Arabidopsis thaliana: one gene and its partners. The protein of the gene in region 3 interacts with the protein of the main gene of each other region in a pairwise test. Each region holds a gene or a part of one and is shown on either strand. Other genes may lie near its edges.

Region 1 (6,541 bases), about 13 Mb from region 3:
TGAAAACGACGCATCAAACTGAAAATCCTAAATGATTCCTCGATATGACCATTTTGTGCATATGCCGCAGCAATCGAATTCCATGAAATTGTGTCACGTTCAGACATTTGATCAAAAATATAATTTGCATAGTCTACATTTCCCATACTACCTAACATGGATATGAGCGAATTCTCCACTGCCAGCTTACTCTCCAGTCCCGATTTGACAACCTGTCCGATAATTTGACGACCCAAAGATTCATCTTTAAGCAATCCGCAGGAACTGATTACCAAAGACATGGAATTTTCGTTACACCCAACTCCTTCTCCTCTCATACCTTTATAGATATCAATTACTTCCTCTGGCTCACCCTTATCCGAGTAACCAACCATCAGTGAAGTCCAAGACACCACGTTTCGGTCAGGCATCTCCTCAAAAACCTTCCTTGAACACGAAACCAATCCATAAACCCCATAGAGATGCAAGATAGCAGTACTAACGTAAACATCAGACAACAAACCAGACTTAGCCACAAAGCCGTGAACTTGAACCCCTTCTCTGAACATAGAACCAGACCGACCACAAGCTGTTACTAAACTAGCAATCACAAAGCTACTTGGCTTAATACCAAGATCACACATCTTCCGAAAAAATTCCATTCCTTCCAAATACAATCCAACACGGACTATCCCCGACATCATGGTATTCCAAGAGACTTCGTTTCTCACAGGCATTATATCGAACAGGTGGCGCGCAGGTTTGACTCGGCCAAACTTGGTGTACATGTTAATCAAAGTGTTGGTGTGCAACACACTCAGACGAACTAATCCCTTGACACAAAGCGCATGCACAGCTCTCCCCGTAGTCTCTATAGTGATTTGAGAGAAACCAATTTGATCGAAACAAGATATTTCCGGGTTCCAATGGTCTGAGAGCGAGAAACATCCACTCAATCTGGTAACTTTTTTTCCTTCCACTCTTTTCAAACATTGCAATGTCGAGATTCGTCGCGTCTTGAACTGGCGGGAGACAGATCCACTGAGCAAACGAGAATCGCCGCCCTGAAAAAACAGGACTTTGCGTCGCCAGCTGGCCAGCTCTAATTCGTCGGTGTTCAACGGTGGTTCCCGGAAAGATCAACGATTTGAAACCAACCTAGAAAGCAAAAAAGACTGCTCTTTTAAATCAAAAACCAAAATAACCGGAAAGGCGTACCAGAAACCGGAATCACTGGACTATATAAAACCGTTTTGTACCGGATCTTAAAAACAATAATTGCAATATAAACCCTGTATTATTATTTTATTACTTATTTTACCCCAAGTGTTTTCTCCTACACCATTTGAACCCTCTGCAAGTCTCACAGTGTTTCTAGGTCTCGCAACGACAAATGGACGAAGAAAGATTGGAAAATTGATCGGATTTTTTCGGGTAAGTTCTCTGAATCGTTTGTATTCTACTTCACCTTCCACATGGTTGAGAACTCAGATGTAGCGTAAGTGAATCTAATATCTACAGAAACAAACAAAAGCAAAACAAAAAAAAATGATTCCTTTGAAATTCAGCATTTGCAATTGAAACTGTGTGAATGATTCAATCGATGTATTCATCAGAATCTGTGAAAGCTAAAACATTTTCGTTCTTCAAGTTTTACTCTCTTGGCTGAAGATATATCTATTTTGGAAGAGAAGTCTATGTTTGTTCTTATGTAGAAACTGTTAGGTGATGAATCAATTTTCATCTGTCAGCTTTCCAAATCTAGGTGGTTGTTACTTGTTAGCTTGTGATAACTTGATTTCACTACAAAGCAATCATTTGCAAAATACAATCTTTCAACTCTGTAATATCTACATTTTGTCTACAATTCGACGTTTCTTCGTTGTTGCTACTACATGCGCCTATCTGATCTTGCTTATATACTAATAATGCCAATAAGTTAGCTAATAATTCCATTTTCAAGGTGAAAATGACTTGCTTTATGGCTTCATTAATGTATGAGGAGCTCGTAACTCTCCAAGAGTGATGATGAATGTTCATCTTCTGTTCCCTGTTTATGCTGTTGTTGTTGTTGTTGGTTATCGTTTTCTTCTAACCCGAGTTCGCTTTCCAGGTGCTTAAACCATTTATCAACTTCATCTTCTTCAGACTCTTGAAGAGCTCTGTTCTCTGGTTGTTGGAATGAGTCTGAACCATCTATGAAACTCCAAATGTCAGGATCTAAATCAAAAGGCATCTCCAGCAGCTCTGGTTTGTCTACCTCTTGTAACATCCCCGTAAACTCGCTATAAGTTAGAATGTGCTCAAACATTTGACTTATCTGTGCATCATCGTCTTTGCTTGAAATGTTGGAACCAGCAAAAGACATTGAAGCATTTGGAGATGACTCTTGAGAGTTCTCTTCTTCATTCAAAGAACCTTTTGAACCCGCTTCATCGGCATTAAGGTTAGTTTCCGAGCTCAATCTTTTCTTGAGATGTGTATGCCACACATTCTTGATCTCATTGTCTGTTCTTCCAGGCAGCTTAGAAGCAATCTTCGACCACCTGAATCCAAAATGCAGAAAAGCTATTGTCAAAATCAAAACTTTGAGCCCACAACAAGACATTAACAAGATAACACATACTTGTTACCAAAGCTCTGGTGAAGTTTGATGATGGTGTCTTCTTCCTCTGCACTGAAATTGCCACGTTTCACATCAGGTCTGAGGTAATTAATCCATCGCAGACGACAACTCTTGCCACACCTCAACAATCCTTCATTGCATGCATAGATAGAATCAGAACCAGAAGACTAGAAAAGCTAAAGAAAGAGGCTTTTAAAGATCATAGACATACCAGCTTGCTTTGGGAGAGATCTCCAATTCTCATGACCATTCTTGTGAATGAAAGAGATGAGTTTCAAGTCTTCATCATGGCTCCATGGTCCTCTCTTCACTTTGGTTTTGTCACAACATGGTGCTCTTCCTTTGCCCATATTCTCTCTCTCCTCTCTCACAGACACACACTTTTGAGATTCCCTCTTACCAAATCCAATTGCTTTTATGTGTATTTATACATGAGAAGTGGTGTGTGTGATCCTGACATTGAGAAACATGTTATAAACCACAGACATTGACAAATGTCACATCAGATTTGTTGAGGTTAAAAACTTGTCTATATTGTGGATGAGTATCTGGCAAAATTCACATCTTTTTTATAATTGTATAGTTCGCATTTCTATATGTCATTAATAAACTATTATGAAAATGTAATCAACTAAACACAGATGAAACATGTTTGAAACTTAGATACTGAGTCTCATATTTTTTATTCAATCATGAAACCTATAAAGATTGCCTCTGACCAATCTATAAGTTGAATCCATCTTTATGATGTCAAAAGAAAGGAAAAAAAAAAATACCTGTTCCTGTGATTAGTGCTGTTATCCTAAATTATTTTGACTAATTTTGTTGTACTGCTGCAAAATGCGCAACTCGTTAGTTAATATTAGCTAATTTTGAGATTTGACTAATTAGGGTGTCTGAGTCAAATCAGATAGGATTGTAATAATTTTTTTCTGTCTATGGCTATACCAACTTTTGAAAAACGGTTTTAAATTTTAACAAAATGAGAAAGTTTGATAAGTGGAAATTTCATGAATAAAACTTGACTTAGTAATCTACCAAACAAGACGTAAGGATGCTATCACCTTCCGATTGGCACTCATATTTATAAGGAAGAAAAAATTGACTGGTTAGGGTTAAGAATCGTGGAAGGCTGAATAAAATTCTAATCTATAACCATATTATACATATAAAATCATGCTTAAGAACAGTAAGAAAAAATATGTACATCAGTCCATAGTGGATTTATTTTAAAGAAAATGGGTCCTATAACCCTGTAACATGTGTATACTTTTTTGTTTTCTTCGAATACAATGATCAAATTAGCTTTCCTTTACTTTATACACACACAACATTTCTCGACGTTCTATCTTTTTCTCCTCTTTTTTTTAGTCTCCATCCCTCTCATCATGACTCTTTTAAATAATTTTAATCATGTCGTCTATATATTTCTCATATATATTTGGATTTAAATAACATACACAAATTATTTGGTCAAGTCATAAATATTATAAACGAAACATATATGACATATGTTTAAAATGTTATAGAACAATATGGTTATCCAAAACCTCTAACATTTATATATCTTTTACTTTTTGAAAATTGTTATAAAACAATATCGTAAGCTTTTACCACTACTTTAACTTTAGTTTATGGTACTCAATTTAGTCATTTTGGCCATAATATACTAACCTAAATTCTAAAGATACAATGTATATCCACTACTGATTAATATTACGTTCATCAATCTAAAGAAACATACATATCAGCATCAATCGCTTACTTAATAGGAAGTTAAGTTAAAGATTCCAAATCAATAGTATGATTTATATTCCATATGCCAAACAAGATATGACGAAACACATCATGCTTACGTTAAATTATATGACGAAAATTAAAGTTGACATGGTGTTATTTTGGCAACATAAATAAAACTCAACTAGCAACTACAACAACAACAATTTTTGTTCTCACATGCATGTCCTGTATAGTTTTGTCTTTAAATCAAAACATATAACCAAAAATCAATTAGTATATTGATGGATCTTCTAACATAATAAAGAAACTTTTTTGGAGAAGATATAAGTATTTATTCGACAATAGCATTATTGTGCATGCATCTCTAGTAAAGTTATAATCATATGTTCCTTTGTTTGGTGAACAACTTACGAAAATGTTATTTTAACTAGAACCAATTAGGTTCGCACTGGAAAAAGAAAAGTTTAGTAAACTAGGTTGAAAAAATGGAAGAAAGTTGAAATATCCCAATTTGCATGACGAAAGCAAACGTGTTGCTATTGGCACGCCTCTGTCTCTAGTCTTTGATTTGGTTCGGCCGCCCGTTTTCGTAAATAAAATACCACAAGTACAATGAAATGAATCCGTAGTACATTTTCTGTTTACTAAGGTGTGAATAATAGTTGAATTTGCCTTTTAATATTTGTACCGCTAACTAGCTAGCAACGAAGAGTGGTGAACGTATGTTACAATATAAGAAATTTGGTCTATATCTTATTGCGGTTGGACTGCATAAATGTGGTACAACAAATTAATAATTCTATGTTAAAATGTATAAAATTATACTTTGGACTAGTACTGGTGAGCGTCATATATTATCCCTTTAAAGGAGAGATGGCTCCCTAATTCAACTATTCGGTCTCAAACGTATTAAAATGTATAAAACTGAAATGAGCTCAACTGTTTAACAATATAATTCTCTCTATTCTATAGTTGTTTCATGTTTGAATAGAGAACCATATTTTTAATTGATTGCAACGTTTGTTCTTTTTTCTACAACAAAAGTTACAAAACAAAAATACTAAATAGAGGATGTATATATGTTTGGTGACAGTATGTATGTACAATATAATGTATTTGTTTGGTGAAACACCAAAGTTTTTTACTAATAGAAAGATGTTTTTATTAATAGATTTGATTATGCATTTGATTGGTGACTGGTGTGATACTAATGGTCATACTCATACGTCGGTAGCAGTTGAGCAAGATCTTGTTTGCCAAACAAATTAATTAGGATTATATGTATATTTCTTGGCAAAAACAAAAGAGATTTATATTTTCTTTGCCTTATGTGCAATGAAATTCAGAAATGCATCCCTACTGCAATTCGATTTGGTCAAAATCATTCAACGTCAAGATCATATTCACTGACTTTTTGTTTATAACAATGGTCTAATAGAACAAGTTATGTATATATAATAGTGTGTTCACATCATAAACCAACTATAAACTATTTGAATTAGAAATTATAATATATGTCTATTTATTGATGTTGTTGTAATAATAGTTTTTTTTTTTTTTTTTTTTTTTTTTTTACTAAAACTTACCTTCATTAAATGGGAAAAGTTACAAAGTGCCTCCAGATCGAGTAACACCTATTAGGAAACAAACATACAACAACCACAACAAGAGCACATTATCAATCAAAGAGACCAAACCAAGTGGCGAGGAAGTTTGTAATAATAGTTTAAGAATGCATGCACGCATTGTTTGATATATTTTGGCCTCTCGCGTTTAATTTTTATAATTTAAAAATAATTTAAGAAATACATATATCACAAGTTACACACAAAAATATAGTTGATTGTAATGGATGAACTTTTTCATGTTTTGGAGTTTCTGAGTTTATAAATAACAACTTACATCTCAACAATTAATATGTAATGATAATACATTATACATCTGGCAAGTGATTAATTCAGAATAATGGAAGTTTAGAATATGATATGCTGAGTCATGTCTTCCTATGTTTTTTTTTCTACAGATTCTCATGTCTTCCTATGTTAATTGAACAAAAATATAGTTGATTAAAATTACCTAATCATTACATGCATGACGTGTGTTCCATAACTTGAAAAATGAAAACATTGGTCGATCGAATAATTATAAAGTAACTCCAGTGTGGCACCTAATCTTGGAAAATATATAAATAAAACT
Region 2 (6,553 bases), 1.3 Mb from region 3:
AACGTTTTTCCTTCAAATATTGGATACAGTAAAACCTCTATAAATTAATAATGTTCGGACTGCAAAATTTTATTAATTTAGAGGGGTTTTAATTTATCGATAATTTAATATTTATTAATTAATAGAAAATTTTTCCTAATTTAGTAACTTTTCAAAAATTTGTATAAGATTTTTTTTCATTATAGAAAATATCTTTCAAGAATCAATTACAAGTAAAAAATAATATCATATTTAGAAAATAACACCAAAAGTTTTTGATATAGTAAAATACTAAAACTATATTTCAAATAAGGATAAATACAAATTTAAGCAAACAAATATTAGAATTATATTTCAAAGAAATTTCTTACATATAATGTATATATATAATTGATACATTTAAATAATTATTAATTTATGATATTGATGAGACCATATATTTATATAGGATTTTCAAAAAAATTATTATCTTATTAATTTATCGATTTGTGTCACTTTTTATACTGATCCCAACTCGGAACCAAAAACATTTCTTAATTTATAGAGATTATTAATTTATCGAGTATTAATTTATAGAGGTTTTACTAGAGTTTATACTTTAGAGGATGGGATTATGATCAGTGTTAATTGATGAATACAAAATTTAAAAAGTTTAGTATGTTTTATTGCAAGTTTATGCATATACGATCATGTTGAATTTCAAACGAACAAATTATTATCTTATTATATGTTTGGATTTGAAACTGCAATATATATATATATATATATATATATATTTTAAAGATTCATTTATAGTAAGATTGTTTTAGGGATAGTATAATAAGAATGATTAAATAATCTTGCATTTGAGAGAGATCAATGTATGACCTAGACAAAAACGATGATTCGTCTTCAAGTGAAAACTATTAGACCACTATCACTTGGTTAAATTAAATTAAAAGTATCATAAACTAGAGATTTCTTCATGATAATGTTGTTTGTATCTTCCAAATCAATCACAAACTATATATAGTATCATAAACTCGAGATGTCTTTAATCATTGTCTTGTAATTCTCATCTTTTTTAATAAAGAATTTATTTTGTTTGTAGTGAAATTTGTCTCGATTTTTCTCTCTTCTTTGTTTTCAGCTTCTTTTCTTGAGAATTTTTTCTTTATTCATTCAGATTTTAAAACTTTTGTTTCATATTCATAACACATATATATAGTTAAATAAGATATTGATCCGCAGTCGGACATATATAATCCGAAAAGTTTTCCAAATTTGCGTTGCCATGACGCCCATGCCAGATTTTAAGTCTACAAGTATGCAAACCAATAAGTAATGTCGATCGATTACACAATTTTTACTTCCGTTTTCCCTCCTATATATGACAAAACCAACCAACTCTAGTGATTAAGTACCATACACACCTAATGATAAAAATTAAAATAAAATAATGCAATTTCTTTTTGTGGTAGAAAAAATAATTCCACAAACCTCCTCACCCTTTTTCACCAGTCAAACTAATTCATAAGCAAAAAACAAGTAAAAAAAAAAATACTATATATGAAGTACCCGAGTATATTTAAATAAGTTGAGAAAAGAAGTACTAGATGATAGTATGAGATATGGATTTATCAAAGGGAAGCGGGGAAAGTGGCGGAAGAAGAGAAGATTTCGTCAAGTGTCCCGTTCATAGAGTCTCTGCATTGAAAGTCTTGTTGGATTGACATAATCTCTGCTTCGTTCATAGAAAGTTGAGGGAAATCTTGGAGTTGAAGAGGAGGATGATATGGAAGCTGATGAGAATAGTTTGAGAAAAGATGATCATGATCGTCCAGAAGAGAAGATGAGAAATGAAGAGCAAATATGGATGAGCTGTTTGCTTCGTCTAAAAGGACCCCTTGAGTTAGCTCTGATGAAGATGTCTCCGCGGATGCTCTTTTCAAGCTCTCGTCTTCAATATAATTACCATCACATTTTCTCCACTTCTTCTCCTTTTCTTCTTCCTCTTCTTTTCCTACACTAGTGCTCTCTTCTTCTGCTTCTTCTTCTTCCCCTTTTCTCTTTGGAATTTGTATGTTCTTCTTAAACACTCGGCACAATGCATACGACTCCTGTTTTAGATCAACATTAATATTAGTCGATATGGTTTATCAAAAAAAAAAAAATTAGATCAGAAATGAATATAGATATATATGTTAATAGAAGTTTGTGCATGGGAAATAATTTACCTTCAAGGAGGAGGAAGGAGCGTGCGTGAGACGATATTCATGCATGACCCAATTAGTACGAAGGCCATGAGGAGCCCTTCCTCTATAATAAACCAGTGTCTTCTTCATTCCCATCTTCATCTTCTTTGATTCTACTGTACGATCTTTCCCCGTGGCCTTCCAGTAACCCGCTCGGGTCGCACGGTTCGTCCTAGAGCCATTTGGATACTTCTTATCCCTTGTGCTGTAAAAGTACCATTCCATGTCGTTTCCCGGCAAAAATGACTTTTCTGTTCCGCGTATTATCCAAATAAATAACTCATAAAACCTCCAATATCATATGTATGAATGCATCATGACCAATATATGTAATCTATAACGTCAGATTGACATAAACAAGCTGAACCATATATAGAGAGAGATATAAAGAGTTGGATCGTACCAGGCAAGTCCCATGGCTCGCATTTATAAAGATCAACTTCTGGGATGATCTCGAGCTCAATGGCTTGGCCGTTGACCTTCCTATCAAGATAGTAAGCCACCAGTTCTTCATCAGTGGGATGAAACCTGAATCCTGGAGGCAAACTCATGGGCGCCATTCAAAGTGTATGCGTTAGAAAACGAGAGAGAAAGAGATGAGAGAGATTAATTAAAGTGATTAGGATGTTCGTACGACATATGAAGGTGACTATATATAATTAAAAAGATGAGACTCTGAAGAAGATATGATATGGGAATGTGTAAAAGTATGCCATGGGATTGGCATCTTCTGAGATTAATATTTTGTCTTACTTTGGGTTGCTTTTTGGTCAGTGTTTGTCATGATACTCATCACACATATTTTCTAAAACCAATATATATATTTTAAATAAAAACCTAACTCTGGCTTTTGAAGATTCTGCAAGTGTGAAAACCCTAGTAGGAGGAGAGACGGAAAAAGCTTTAGCAAGAAGGCCCCATCTCACAAATACTCACATATATGAATGTATATGCTTATAATTCCGGTTAGACCTTAACGTGGGTCATGAATCATTATAGAGGGATTTTTATAACGTTTGCTTTAAACCAAAAATGAAGGCTTTTTATGATTCAACAGTTTAGGGGACCCATCTCTTCTTCTCAAACCAAATCTACCTGGCGACACCTAAACACTCGGCTTTTTCTTTTCTTTTTTTTTCGGTTTGACAGTTTTGTTATATTGTTTTATGTTGTTATGGTCTTATAATAAGAATACTTATAAATTGAATTCATATATATGATTAAAAAATGGGAGAATAAAAAAGCAGGAGGCATCCAAGTCGACTTTGGCTTTAGTGTTGGGAGGCTTCTTTAGTCCCTTTTACATATGGATTAAAGACGTTGTTCGGCTCTTTTACATCATTACTCCCACACAATCTTTGACTCTCTTTCTCTCGGCCCTTCAATTTTACTAACTTCCGGTCAAATCTCTTTTGCCTCGACTCTCGGCCTCGATCCAAAAGATAAATTAAAAAAATAAGGACATCTTCATTCTTCACATGTATGATATATATAACTCATGTCATATATTAGATGTCTCGTTTACATGGTTTTTTTTCGTTTGCTAATATATATAATTCACATGTAGACGAAGAACATTGTAAACGGAATTTAACAGAATGAAGTAATCAAACGTTTTATGTAAGGAAATGATCAAATACTGAGGGAGTCCACAAGTTGCGACATATATAAAACTCCTCCATTCTTATAAAGTATAATATTCAAACTTCAAGTAAGTAACTCTCCCTTTTCCGTGAGAAAGAAATAACAATAACATTTTAGGGAAGCTTTAAGATGTGGTCACCAATAACTTAGGGAGAGAGAGAGAGAGTGACAGATACAAAAAACAAAAGATAGCAACTGAAAAATATTTTGGCGAAAGATGCTTTAACAGTTTAACTTATCAAACGACAACAACAAGACATGCCCCAATTGTTTCACCACTTTGTTTTTCTTGGTCACAAATCGAGTCTAAGTCTATATGAACAAGTAATTAATGTGAGTACTATATATAAAAAAAAATGTGACTATATATATAAATGTTGTATCACAAATGCAAAAGGAATGTGGATTAATTAATTAATAAAGACAACGAGGAAGCTAACATGCAAGCCTAACTAAAGACATGCAACCTTTGATACGATCTAAGGGGAAGCGAATAAAGCTAATTAAGATCTAAGCATCTTATCTTATCAACCCTTTTATATTTCCATTTCACATGTATCAAGTACCTATACTCTTTCTCAAGCTTATAGTATTGATATCTAGAGTATCAAATAAACATTAATTAATTAGACGTAACACAATAGTGACATTATTAAATGAATAGTAAACAAACTTTACGTGTATATATATCCATGACGAAATTGGCAAAGGCGGGACTCTATGGGGGAATCATGATAATACATACATACGATATACATGTTGACATGTATCATGTATCATGATAATACATACATCATCCCTTTTTTGTTGGTTTGTTAATAAAATGATCATACATCATCTTAAACATCAACATCAATCACAATTCTTCTAAAAGAGAAGAAGAGTCTTGTTCAGAAAAAGTAGCATCTGATTCCCTACATGTCGGTTTCCAAAACATATTTTTTTTCCATCTCATATTAGTTTGTGCTAAACAAACTGATCCAAGGAAAAAAGAAAAGCCTTTAAATAATACAAGTTGGAATCCCTGTGTCTCTAGAGATTCTTGCTTTCATGTTTTTTCACGCATCTCAATTATAGCAGAAGAACAATGTCACTGTCCAAAAACATTTGCGTTATTTGCCTTTTGCTTTTCTCCATGCATTAAATCTCATTTCTACCCTTGTTAAAGTGGTCACACTCATTACTCTTTTTAATATACTAATCCTACAGGACCACCTCGTGATTGTTATCTCAAATTTTGATTAATTATTCAATCAATTAGCCAAAGCAGATCTTCTTCAATTTTAAGATTTTGATGATTACTGTTAAAGCTGACTATCACTGCGGGGAATTCAAAGATGATGCTAGTATACAAAAAGAGAAGCATGGTTTCAAATTGCAGAATCAGGCCCATATATAAGTGGGCTTGATTATTTGGGCTTTTGGAAGAGTGTGGCCCAACATAGAGATATAGAGCTGTTATCGTCTGTCTTTCATGGCGGAGCAGAGGTGATCGTTTCACTATTCAATTTCACTCGTCGATCATTACCAACCTCTGCGGGCAAAGATGGAATTCGAGAAGATCAAGGTGATCAATCCCGTTGTTGAAATGGATGGTAAGTGTTCGAACAGTCAATTAGCTCAAATCTATGATTACGATTATGGGTTTCTCGTTACTCTGATTGATTGATTTGCTTATATTGGAGTATATGTGATCGGCTCTGTTCCGGGTTTTTCTTTTCTTCTATATGTTATAGTTTTATGAAATAAATTCAGAAACTTGACTCTTTATTTATTCTCTGTGCACAAGCAGGAGACGAAATGACTCGAGTTATCTGGAAATTCATCAAAGACAAGGTAAAAATCTTAACTTTTTTTTAAATCTTTAATCACAGATTGAATTCTTTTTGTGATTAAAATCTTGAGAATTTTGCAGCTTATTTTCCCTTTCCTGGAGCTGGATATCAAATACTTTGATCTTGGACTGCCTAACCGCGATTTCACTGATGATAAGGTTACTATAGAGACTGCTGAAGCTACTTTAAAGTATGTCGTCTTTACATTTTATACTTAGATATCATATTCTCCATGCTTTCTGCTTCTAGTGTTGAGGTTGTTCTGTGAATAAAGCTTGTTCATGGCTATTGGTTTCAGAATATATTGTCTGCCTTAAAGTTTTTTTCTTTTCTTTTCTTGTGTGAAGGTATAATGTGGCTATTAAGTGTGCGACGATTACTCCGGGTATGTATTCTTAAACCTTTGCAATTTTTAATTTAAAAGTGTGCTTCTTTCACTTACTAACAACAGTTTTTGCTTTCAACGACAGATGAAGCTCGTGTTAGGGAGTTCGGCTTAAAGAAAATGTGGAGGAGTCCTAATGGAACTATAAGGAACATTTTAAACGGTCAGTTTCTTCGCCAAAAAAGGGGGCAATTCCTTCTTCAATTCCTAAGCTCTAAGATCATGTTGTTATTTTTATGCAGGCACAGTTTTCAGGGAACCTATCATTTGCAGAAACATCCCTCGTCTTGTTCCAGGTTTGTCAATGGCTGCTCTTTTTGTATGAGTTAGCCATTTTCTGTACCTTTAACATGTAGAGCAAAACAAATCCCTCTGATTTCATTTCCTCAGGATGGACGAAGCCAATCTGTATTGGAAGGCATGCTTTTGGTGATCAGTATAGAGCCACTGATCTCATTGTCAATGAACCAGGAAAA
Region 3 (8,650 bases):
GATTTGTAAAGTCTAGTACTTGTAACATTATCATTAATTGTAAGCACTACAAAAATCAGAGAAAATACATACTTTTGGGTTTGAGCAATACTTGTATTTCACTGTCTATTCTCTAAAATCATAAGCCAAAAGCATTTTGTTTGGCTATTCAACAAGTTAAAATGCTAGTTTATTTCTTTGTCATTTTTCAAAGTGAATTGAACTCCTTAATTAGTCAGTTATATATGAAACAAAGAATACAATATATGTTATTTGTTTTACTTTACATGCAATTTTGAAAAACAGAATATTATACAGTTATGTGAATAGTTATCTAAGAAGCTTTCTCTTAACAGGTTAAGTCCTTGATTGTCGATTTTAGTATGGAAAAAATCAATGTCAGTAAAAAATAAATCCATTTGTTGATTAACAAGCATGTAAGCTATACAATCATACCTTGAAGGGGTAGAATCATTTCTCACCGAGAAATAGTCTTCTGAAAGTGATGATTTGATTAAAATCTCTAAGAATGATCCAAGATTTGGTGTTTGGAGAAGTGGAGGAAGTTATACACTACTAATTTCGTACAACGTTTTGTTCTACCAGCATTTTTTTTATAGATCAATGCAACAGTGAAATGAATGTTATTTCTATGTGAGTAAACGCATAATCACAGATCTCGAGCTACCCATATTTTTTCATTCTTGTAACGACCAGAAACTCAGATAAGTATGTTTTTAAACTCCTTCCCAAAAGGCATATGCTTTGTGACCCAAGAATTAAGCTTCTTTCCCCATTATTGGTTGTTGAGGGACTTGAGAGTTGTAGTCCTTCCAAAAGAAACCTTTCTAATAAGCAAAAATTATGTGCACACTGACTAAATAGAGTTAAAGATTATGTATAGAGACATAGTAAGCATTATAATTATGCACAATTTTCACTTAAATTCATAAATCTACATATACATTTTTGCATATATTTTGTGAAATAAATCATGGAGTTGTGACTTATTTACAATGGCTGCCACTAAATTTTAATTATTTGATTTTTTTAATTAATGGTTTGATTTTTTACGGCAATTAATTGTGTAACAAACCAAAAAGATTTAAAATATATGGCAATCCCATATGTCACGCAAAACATAATAAATTATCTTCTTTTTATCTCACCTACAATATTCATTAAATCTTAAAACAACAAAAATTTGAACTATTTGAATTATATGTATTAAATTTTGGCAATAAATTAAAACAAACATTGTGAAACAAACCAAAATACATTTACTATCCCGTATGATGAACAAATCCAATTATATGTGCACCTAAAAACATTCATTATCTTGGTTTGAATCTTCCATGGAATTAAAAGTTCATAATTTTTTCGGCATAAAATCACAATCACAACTAATTCCACAACTAATATTTAAACTTATAAAAAATTAAAATATCATGAGACGAAAAATATAGCCGGACGGGTTTGGATAGATATGAAATATAGCAAGATGGATTTAAATTAATATAACACAGGTTAAATATTTATTTTGTTATTTTATCATCATTAATTTTTTTATTTACAACATTAATATAAAATTATATAACTTTAATACTAAACTAAAACCGTAAAATTTAATATTATTATATATATGAATAAAATATTTGCTACGTGGTGTACCATGGGTTAAATCCTAGTAAGTATGTATAATCAAATAAAAATATAAGAACAATAAATCTTCAATTATAAATTACGAATACAAGTTTGAAAAATTAGTCAGAAGGGTTAGCTTTTAAACAAAATTCGGGTACTTTCTAATGTTACTATAGTACCCCTAAAAAGACTAACCCTCGAGGACTCTGATAACCGCCGTCTACAAGTTTTATCATCTTCGCCGTCAAAAGTAAGAAAATAAAACACTAAATCCTCTACTAATCAAGAAGACTCCAGCCGATCCTAATACTTGTGGAAATTAAAGTAGCTAATTATTCCATACCCTACCTTGCCTCGCAAAAAACACAGAGAATTCATCTTTTATTCATTCCACATCGTGAAAACACCTCCTGGATTCGATCCTTGAGCAGACTCTCCACTATTCCATCCTCCATACCCTGTAGCTCCACCGGAAGGAGGCATATCGTAATCGACTTTCACGGCTGGAAACTCTTCCTCAGCCGATGATCCAACGGTAGAGCTTGACCCAATACCAATCCCATTGTTTCCAAGAAACCCTGAAGTGTTGTTATTATCAGAGACAAATCCATGAAGCAGACCAGGGTTACTCTGAAGATAAGCATTGTAGAGCTGTGAAGTGTGACTAGAAGACTGCAAGTAATTGTTGGTTTGTTGTTGGTGAAGATGAAGCTGCGTCTGAATGTAACTAAAGGAATCATGATACTGAGAGATATCGTTGTTGTTCTGTAGAGTAAGTAAAGGCTGATGATGATGAAGATGCTCAAAAGGTTGTTGAATGCTTAGAGGGTAAGGTTGAAGCTGAAGCCTAGAGCTGGAAGCAACAGAGCTCGAGCCGCTCGCTGCACCATATTGATGGAAATTTGATCCGAGGGCTATCATTTCCTCTCGTTTTCTTGATGATTCTAGAGCTTGAGCTTCTTTGAGCCGTTTAGCCGCACCACCTCCTATAGGAAGTGTGTTGCTCTCCAGGATGGCTTTCACATCATACCGATTTATCTCAAAGTTTGTAACCGCGTTTAGACCTCGAAACTTTATCGCAGCTATGTCATAAGCTTCTGCTGCTTCTTCCTCCGTGCCTGAGCAAAATATATGAATATAAGCATGACCATATATCTATTTAAGCTTGTAAGTGGTGTTAATTCACATAATTTTCTATAAAATAAAACTGAATTATATTTTTGATATTAGATTAAACTTAATATTTATATCTAATGATCTCTATATAGTACTCACCAAAAAAAAAGTGATCTCTATTTAGTTTGAAACGGTCTTGTATATCATTTAGGAAGACATGATTTGAGAGAATTATATATAAGCATGGTTAATATTTATTCTTACTGAATGTTCCCAAGTAGAGATCTTTGTTTCCAGCAACTCGGCCGATCCTTGCTTGCCATCTTCCATGTTGATGATGCCTTGTTACTCCACGATACATGGATGCACCACGCGAGAATCCGCTACTTTTCCTGCAATTGTTTACGCGAGGTTCTTTAATTAGAAAGTTTTTTCATAGAATTATCTGATTAGAAAGTTCCTACTTAGCTTCTATTTGAAGTTTTACATTCAAGGTCCGATTAAAAGGAAAATCACCTTCTTATAGAAGCCACAAACTCTTGTCTCGTCATGTTTTTCATCTCCTCTACTTCCTTCTCGTAGTTAGTTATCTAAAATACGCAATCAAATAAAAATTACGGAGGAACTAACGATATTATCAACAATTATTACAATTACAAATATTCATGAAAATTTGAAATAACTTACCGGAAAGTTGGTAGTAGTAGAGGGACCCCAATATTTAAGTGCAGCTAGATCATATGCTCTGGCTGCTTTCTCTTCTTTGTCATACCCACCTGAGTGCATAGTCCGATTAAACAAACCATTCTTCAGTATATACATTACTTTAAATCAAATTATAATCAATAACAAAAGAAAAATGAAAGAATCATTTATACTCACCTAAGTAGACTGTAGAGATTTCGAAGAAGTCCAAGATACAAACATCAAGAAAACATAAGAATGATGAGGAACATAATTAGTCCGAAATTAAGATTTCGATCGAGACAAGACCGAAAGAGGAAATAAAATGAAGTAATCAATCAAATAAATGACTACACTTACCTTGTCTTCCTTTCCTTGATTGTCCTTCTCTTCTACAGCTATTATCCCAAAGATGAGCTTCATATCTACCGGTCCATCTATGTCTATATATAACACCCCAAAAAATTAAGTAACAAATTTATATACGCATTTTATTATTGTCACGCGAAAAAATTGAGACATCTTAAACACCTTGTAACTCCACGATAGATAGAGGTTCGTTGTCCAAAAGTTTCCAAAGTCCGTCTCGGTGTAGCCTCAACGATGGCTCCTCCACTTGTGTTGGTAGTGCTGCTACTATTATCGGCACTAGTCTCAGCCGGCGAGGCTTTCACAGTGGCGACTTCTGCAGCGGCAGCTCCAGTACTTCCCATAGAGAGAGTGAGAGATTGCAAATTGTGTGCACTCTCTTGAAGCTCATAATTATTAGGAGCATTAGAGGCACAAGTGACGACTGTAGGTAACAAGCTATTGGTTTGAAAGTAGTAGTCGGAGGCGTTGGTTTGATGAATGTCGTTATAAGGTACGAGGTTGTGATCGGTGTGATGATCCCCCGATTTGCTCACTCCTAAGAAATCAGCCACTTTTGGAACCTCTCCACCTTCGCCGCCTCCACCATGTGGATTGATCATATTCCATCCTAATTAGAAAGAATATAATTAATTATTTTTGTGGTGAAAACACAAACAAAAATTTGTAAAAAAAACAAGAAAATATATGAACATAACAATCTTAAAACATGTGCAATGATGCTTTCGATTTTACATGTCTTAATATTTGAACCCTTCGTTTTTAAAAGCTTTTAACATAGCAAATAGTATATGTTTAATAAAAGAATTGCATTAAGGCCTTGAATATGAACATACATATACATAAATGTGAGTGCACATACCTTGGTTTTGAAAAGGGTTGTCGATATTGTCGTTGACCAAACCTAGATTGAAATGAGAATTTTGTGAAGAGTGAATGTGAGGCGGCAAAGAAGAGTGAGTTGGTGATAGAGGGAACGCGAGCCAGTTGTTAGAATTCATTTCCCTTTTCTTGGAATCAAAGCTTAAACCAGTGAGGTATATAATTTGATCTGAAATGATAGGAATTGGAAGAAAAAAAAAATGATTAGAGACGTATCACAAGATATATAAGTCAAGAGATTTGAGAAACGCAAGTTTGGTAAAGAGAAATCATGAAGAGGTATTACTTGTCAAGGATTGAGAAGAGGAAGAGATCTAGTTCTGCTTTCTCCAAGTATGGCTGCAAACAAAATCCTTGCCTTACGTTCTCTCTCTAGAAAGTAAAAACTATATATATATATCTCTCTCGTAACTTGAAGGTTGAAACAAAGGAGAAGAAGATTTCTGTTAAAGTCTTAAAGATAATTTTTAGGAAGCTAAACAGGTTTTTTTAAAGTTAAACCTATGGCTCGCTTTAAATGTTTTTAAATAATCCTTTTATGATCTCATCAAGGAGGGACTGATGTAAATTAATTTAGCAACCATTAAAAAGATGCAAGTATATATAGAAATAAAGTAGAATTTTTATGCACAACCACATTTATAAATAAAATAATACTACATTGAATGGACTTTAAAATAATGTTGGCACATAAAGTGACTAAAATGAATACAAATGCACTTCTTTAAAATATCTGTTTGGCAGATCTGTATATGATATTGAAATAAATAGGGACACGAGTGTCGTAAATAAGACAAATCTACGCTTCCAACTAGAAAAAGTCCAAACCCTAATTCCCTCTCTCTCTCTAAAGTTTAAACCAACAAAAAATTAAAATCACCTCTTTCTCTAAATTACCCACTTGGATTATTGGAACTCACGTCCCTCGTTTAATGCGATTAATGACTCCCCTAAGCCCAGCATTCCCACACTCCGCAAATCATCTCTTACCATTGACCATATTTTCTTCCCTCTGATCTCTACATACTAACATACACATGTACATACATATCCATATACATGTGTACGCTCACGGCTACGTATTCGTATACGTCTACGTGTTCACATACATGCAATCTCATTGAGAGAGTCCAAGATATGAAGATAATATACATAAAACAACAATTGGATCGATCCTCTTAAATTATAGTTTATTTGTAGATCCCCGAGTTCATTGCATGTGTGTACGGACATGCAATATTATATGAACAGACGTAATTAATTAAATATCAACAAAGCACATTTGGTAAGAGTAAAAGTCACTCTTCGTTCAAAATAATTTGAATATAAGTGAGACGGAAGAAAAAAGGAATAACATCCTATTAATAAATATTTTTCTCCTGTAAAAAGAAAATTAGTAAATGGAGAAAAATTGGGGTGGGATTTTGTTTTGGCTTTCCCGAGTTAAAATCTGTTGACCGATTAATTGGATTTCGCACCCGTCAAAGTGAGATAGTATTGTTAAGTGATTTGAATAAATAAAAATAAAACAATATTTAAGAGTTAAAAGATACAATTACTTATGTCCTAGGCACACTAGAAGCTCGTATTGTGCTAGGAGCCAGGTCTTTGTTTAGTCGCATGCCTTTGTGTCATCCATAACACCGTTCATATTAATGTATATGTACATAATAAATACTGTATAGCTAATTTTTTGTACATTCACCGTAACAGAGAATCGGTCAATATTTAACACTAACCACACTATACATCCTCTTCAACAAGAAAAAAAAAACTCAAGTTCCCATTTACATTATAGAATTTATGGCATTCGTTTTGGTTCTCAATTTATAATTTTGGTTTAATATTCTACTCTATAAGATGAATTATTACCTTTATAGATATCCGTAATATCATTATATAGATATCCAATAATCCACATTTTTAACTGAAGAACAAACAAATCTCACGTAGATAACTATATTATACTATTGCTTCAAATGGATGAAATATAGTTGAATGATTGAAATTTTTTTAGTTGAAAAAAAAAAAGTTAAACATCATTCAGCTCATTCATCTGCAAAAAAAAAGTTAAACATCATTCAGATCATTTCAAATGGTAAAAACTGAGATGAATAGTCATTCAACATTTTCAACCTCTTATATAATTCAAAATGAGAATAAGTTACTATCAGGCATAAGTTAGTAAGTTACTATCCCAACAGTAAGACAAAACTCTAAACCTTTCAAGAAAAAAAAAATATATTATTTAATTTCAAAACAAAGTACCTATCACGTCTTGCTTAAAACATGCAAATCATAATTTCAAAGATTTACTATGATATAAATGCAAACAAATAAAACCACAATACATGGATAAAGTTACAACACATGTTCGAATATCACATTATTTTTGAAGAAATGTTTTTTTAATTACTATGGACAGTGATGATTATATATATAATATATAGATATATTCCTAGCAAAAATTAGTGAGGAGAGATCAATGAGTTGAGGAAACATGATATCATTTTAACATTAAACATTTAATTTCCATTGCCAGAAAAAAAACAAAAGAGGGTTAGGGCTCACCCAAAATATATTTATATAGCAATAGGCCCGCTTCAAAGTTTATACATCTTCCTTCTATATTGCTTCTTATATATGTGTATAAAAAATGTCTATATTAAAAAAATTCTATTCAAAATAAATTTCCTTTTTTGCTTTCCTCAAACTGAACTTACTCAGAGTTCAGACTGCTGCCTCTGAAATAATTAATGCTCCTAGAATCTAAAGAATAATAATCAAATAACGATATGGTGTCTAACAGCGATCAACTGATCATATGATTAAATATGTAAGGAAATAGTGATCATATGATTCATAATATTTTTGAAGATTTTAAGTAAAACAAAGGACAAAAAAAAGGAATCACCTGTTGCCATTTTACAACAATTTCCCGCCAAATTAATGACTTTTTCCTAAATATAAGATTAAAGAAACAGTGAGTTTGACTAAGAAAAGGTAACAAGCCAAATTGCATGCATGTTTAGCATAATAAGATCTAGCAAATTACTGTCTACATTGATAATTATTCTCGACAAATTACAATTTACAACTGCGATTATATGCAACACATATCCGAATATAGTAAAGTGTCTATGTTCACTTTACTTTCTTGAAAGTCTTCAGTTCTGTTTTCACAGATGTCATTTTTTGTAAAAGTACTCACCAAACCAAAAAGAACAACTTTCATTCAGATCCACAACCAAAAAAAAAAAAAGGATGAAAGGCCATAGTAGGAATCAGACAAAAGAAGAAGAAAGTAAAAAACAAAACTGAAAAAGGTGTTATGACAGAAATAAATAAATAGAGTGATTAGGTAAAAGAGTAACTGATCCATTGAAATGTATACCTAAAAATTATAGAATTATTACAATAGATTAAAGCGAGTTATTCAGTATATAGAAATAGTTCTTCAGGTTCTGGTCTAAAAATAAACAAAAGATTAAAAAACTTACAGAAATCCGGAAGAATCTAAGACCAGCAGTAATGGTGGTCTCTCTTATGAATCCCTTATAATAAAAATAAAAAAAAAATAATTAAAAAGAGAAGGACAGAGGAGAGAAGAGATCCAAAAAACCTTATTTAAAGGACAGTCTCAACCCTAAATATACACGTGTAGTTCTTTTAGTAGTCAAACTCTATTAAAAAACTAAAATATAATAACAACATTAAAATATTATTATTATTTTGGTTTTTAGGGACTCATAAGATAGACCACCATTCATGTTGCTCTAAGGAGTTGAAATGTGTGTCGAGAAGGGTAAAGAGAGGTGCAATTTGTTGTCTTTAGCCACCGGATATCACCGGTCATTACTTTTTTTTTTATTGGCAACGTTTCAGATTTTGGTGTCTTGTTCTTGTAATATCTCCACCGTCACGTGTCTATTTATTCGATCAAAAATATTGTCAATTTATGTTCTGAGTTAGGTTT

Evidence for each region.
Region 1: the proteins of PLT2 (region 3) and MYB58 interact in a two-hybrid assay, tested with the Arabidopsis thaliana proteins (one study listed by BioGRID).
Region 2: the proteins of PLT2 (region 3) and NAC020 interact in a two-hybrid assay, tested with the Arabidopsis thaliana proteins (one study listed by BioGRID).

Annotation. Positions count from the first base shown.
Region 1 is NC_003070.9:5,627,890-5,634,430, forward strand, and holds MYB58 (myb domain protein 58), read right to left. Parts: upstream 3,200-6,541; 5' UTR 2,956-3,199; coding exon 2,817-2,955; exon of another isoform or gene 2,736-2,816; coding exon 2,606-2,735; exon of another isoform or gene 2,588-2,605; coding exon of another isoform or gene 2,526-2,587; coding exon 1,970-2,525; 3' UTR 1,766-1,969; downstream 1-1,765. Other genes in the region: AT1G16480 (Tetratricopeptide repeat (TPR)-like superfamily protein), read right to left, coding at 1-767. UniProt on the Arabidopsis thaliana protein: Transcriptional activator that binds DNA to the AC cis-elements 5'-ACCTACC-3', 5'-ACCAACC-3' and 5'-ACCTAAC-3' of promoters and specifically activates lignin biosynthetic genes during secondary wall formation mediated by SND1.
Region 2 is NC_003070.9:20,278,117-20,284,669, forward strand, and holds NAC020 (NAC domain containing protein 20), read right to left. Parts: upstream 2,837-6,553; 5' UTR 2,774-2,836; coding exon 2,617-2,773; intron 2,465-2,616; coding exon 2,196-2,464; intron 2,079-2,195; coding exon 1,599-2,078; 3' UTR 1,391-1,598; downstream 1-1,390. Other genes in the region: ICDH (isocitrate dehydrogenase), read left to right, coding at 5,404-5,452, 5,650-5,693, 5,773-5,882, 6,040-6,077, 6,163-6,240, 6,320-6,373, 6,468-6,553.
Region 3 is NC_003070.9:18,973,660-18,982,309, reverse strand, and holds PLT2 (Integrase-type DNA-binding superfamily protein), read right to left. Parts: upstream 5,135-8,650; 5' UTR 4,961-5,134; intron 4,844-4,960; 5' UTR 4,794-4,843; coding exon 4,655-4,793; intron 4,403-4,654; coding exon 3,955-4,402; intron 3,867-3,954; coding exon 3,784-3,866; intron 3,631-3,783; coding exon 3,622-3,630; intron 3,516-3,621; coding exon 3,427-3,515; intron 3,330-3,426; coding exon 3,256-3,329; intron 3,132-3,255; coding exon 3,004-3,131; intron 2,742-3,003; coding exon 2,005-2,741; 3' UTR 1,692-2,004; downstream 1-1,691.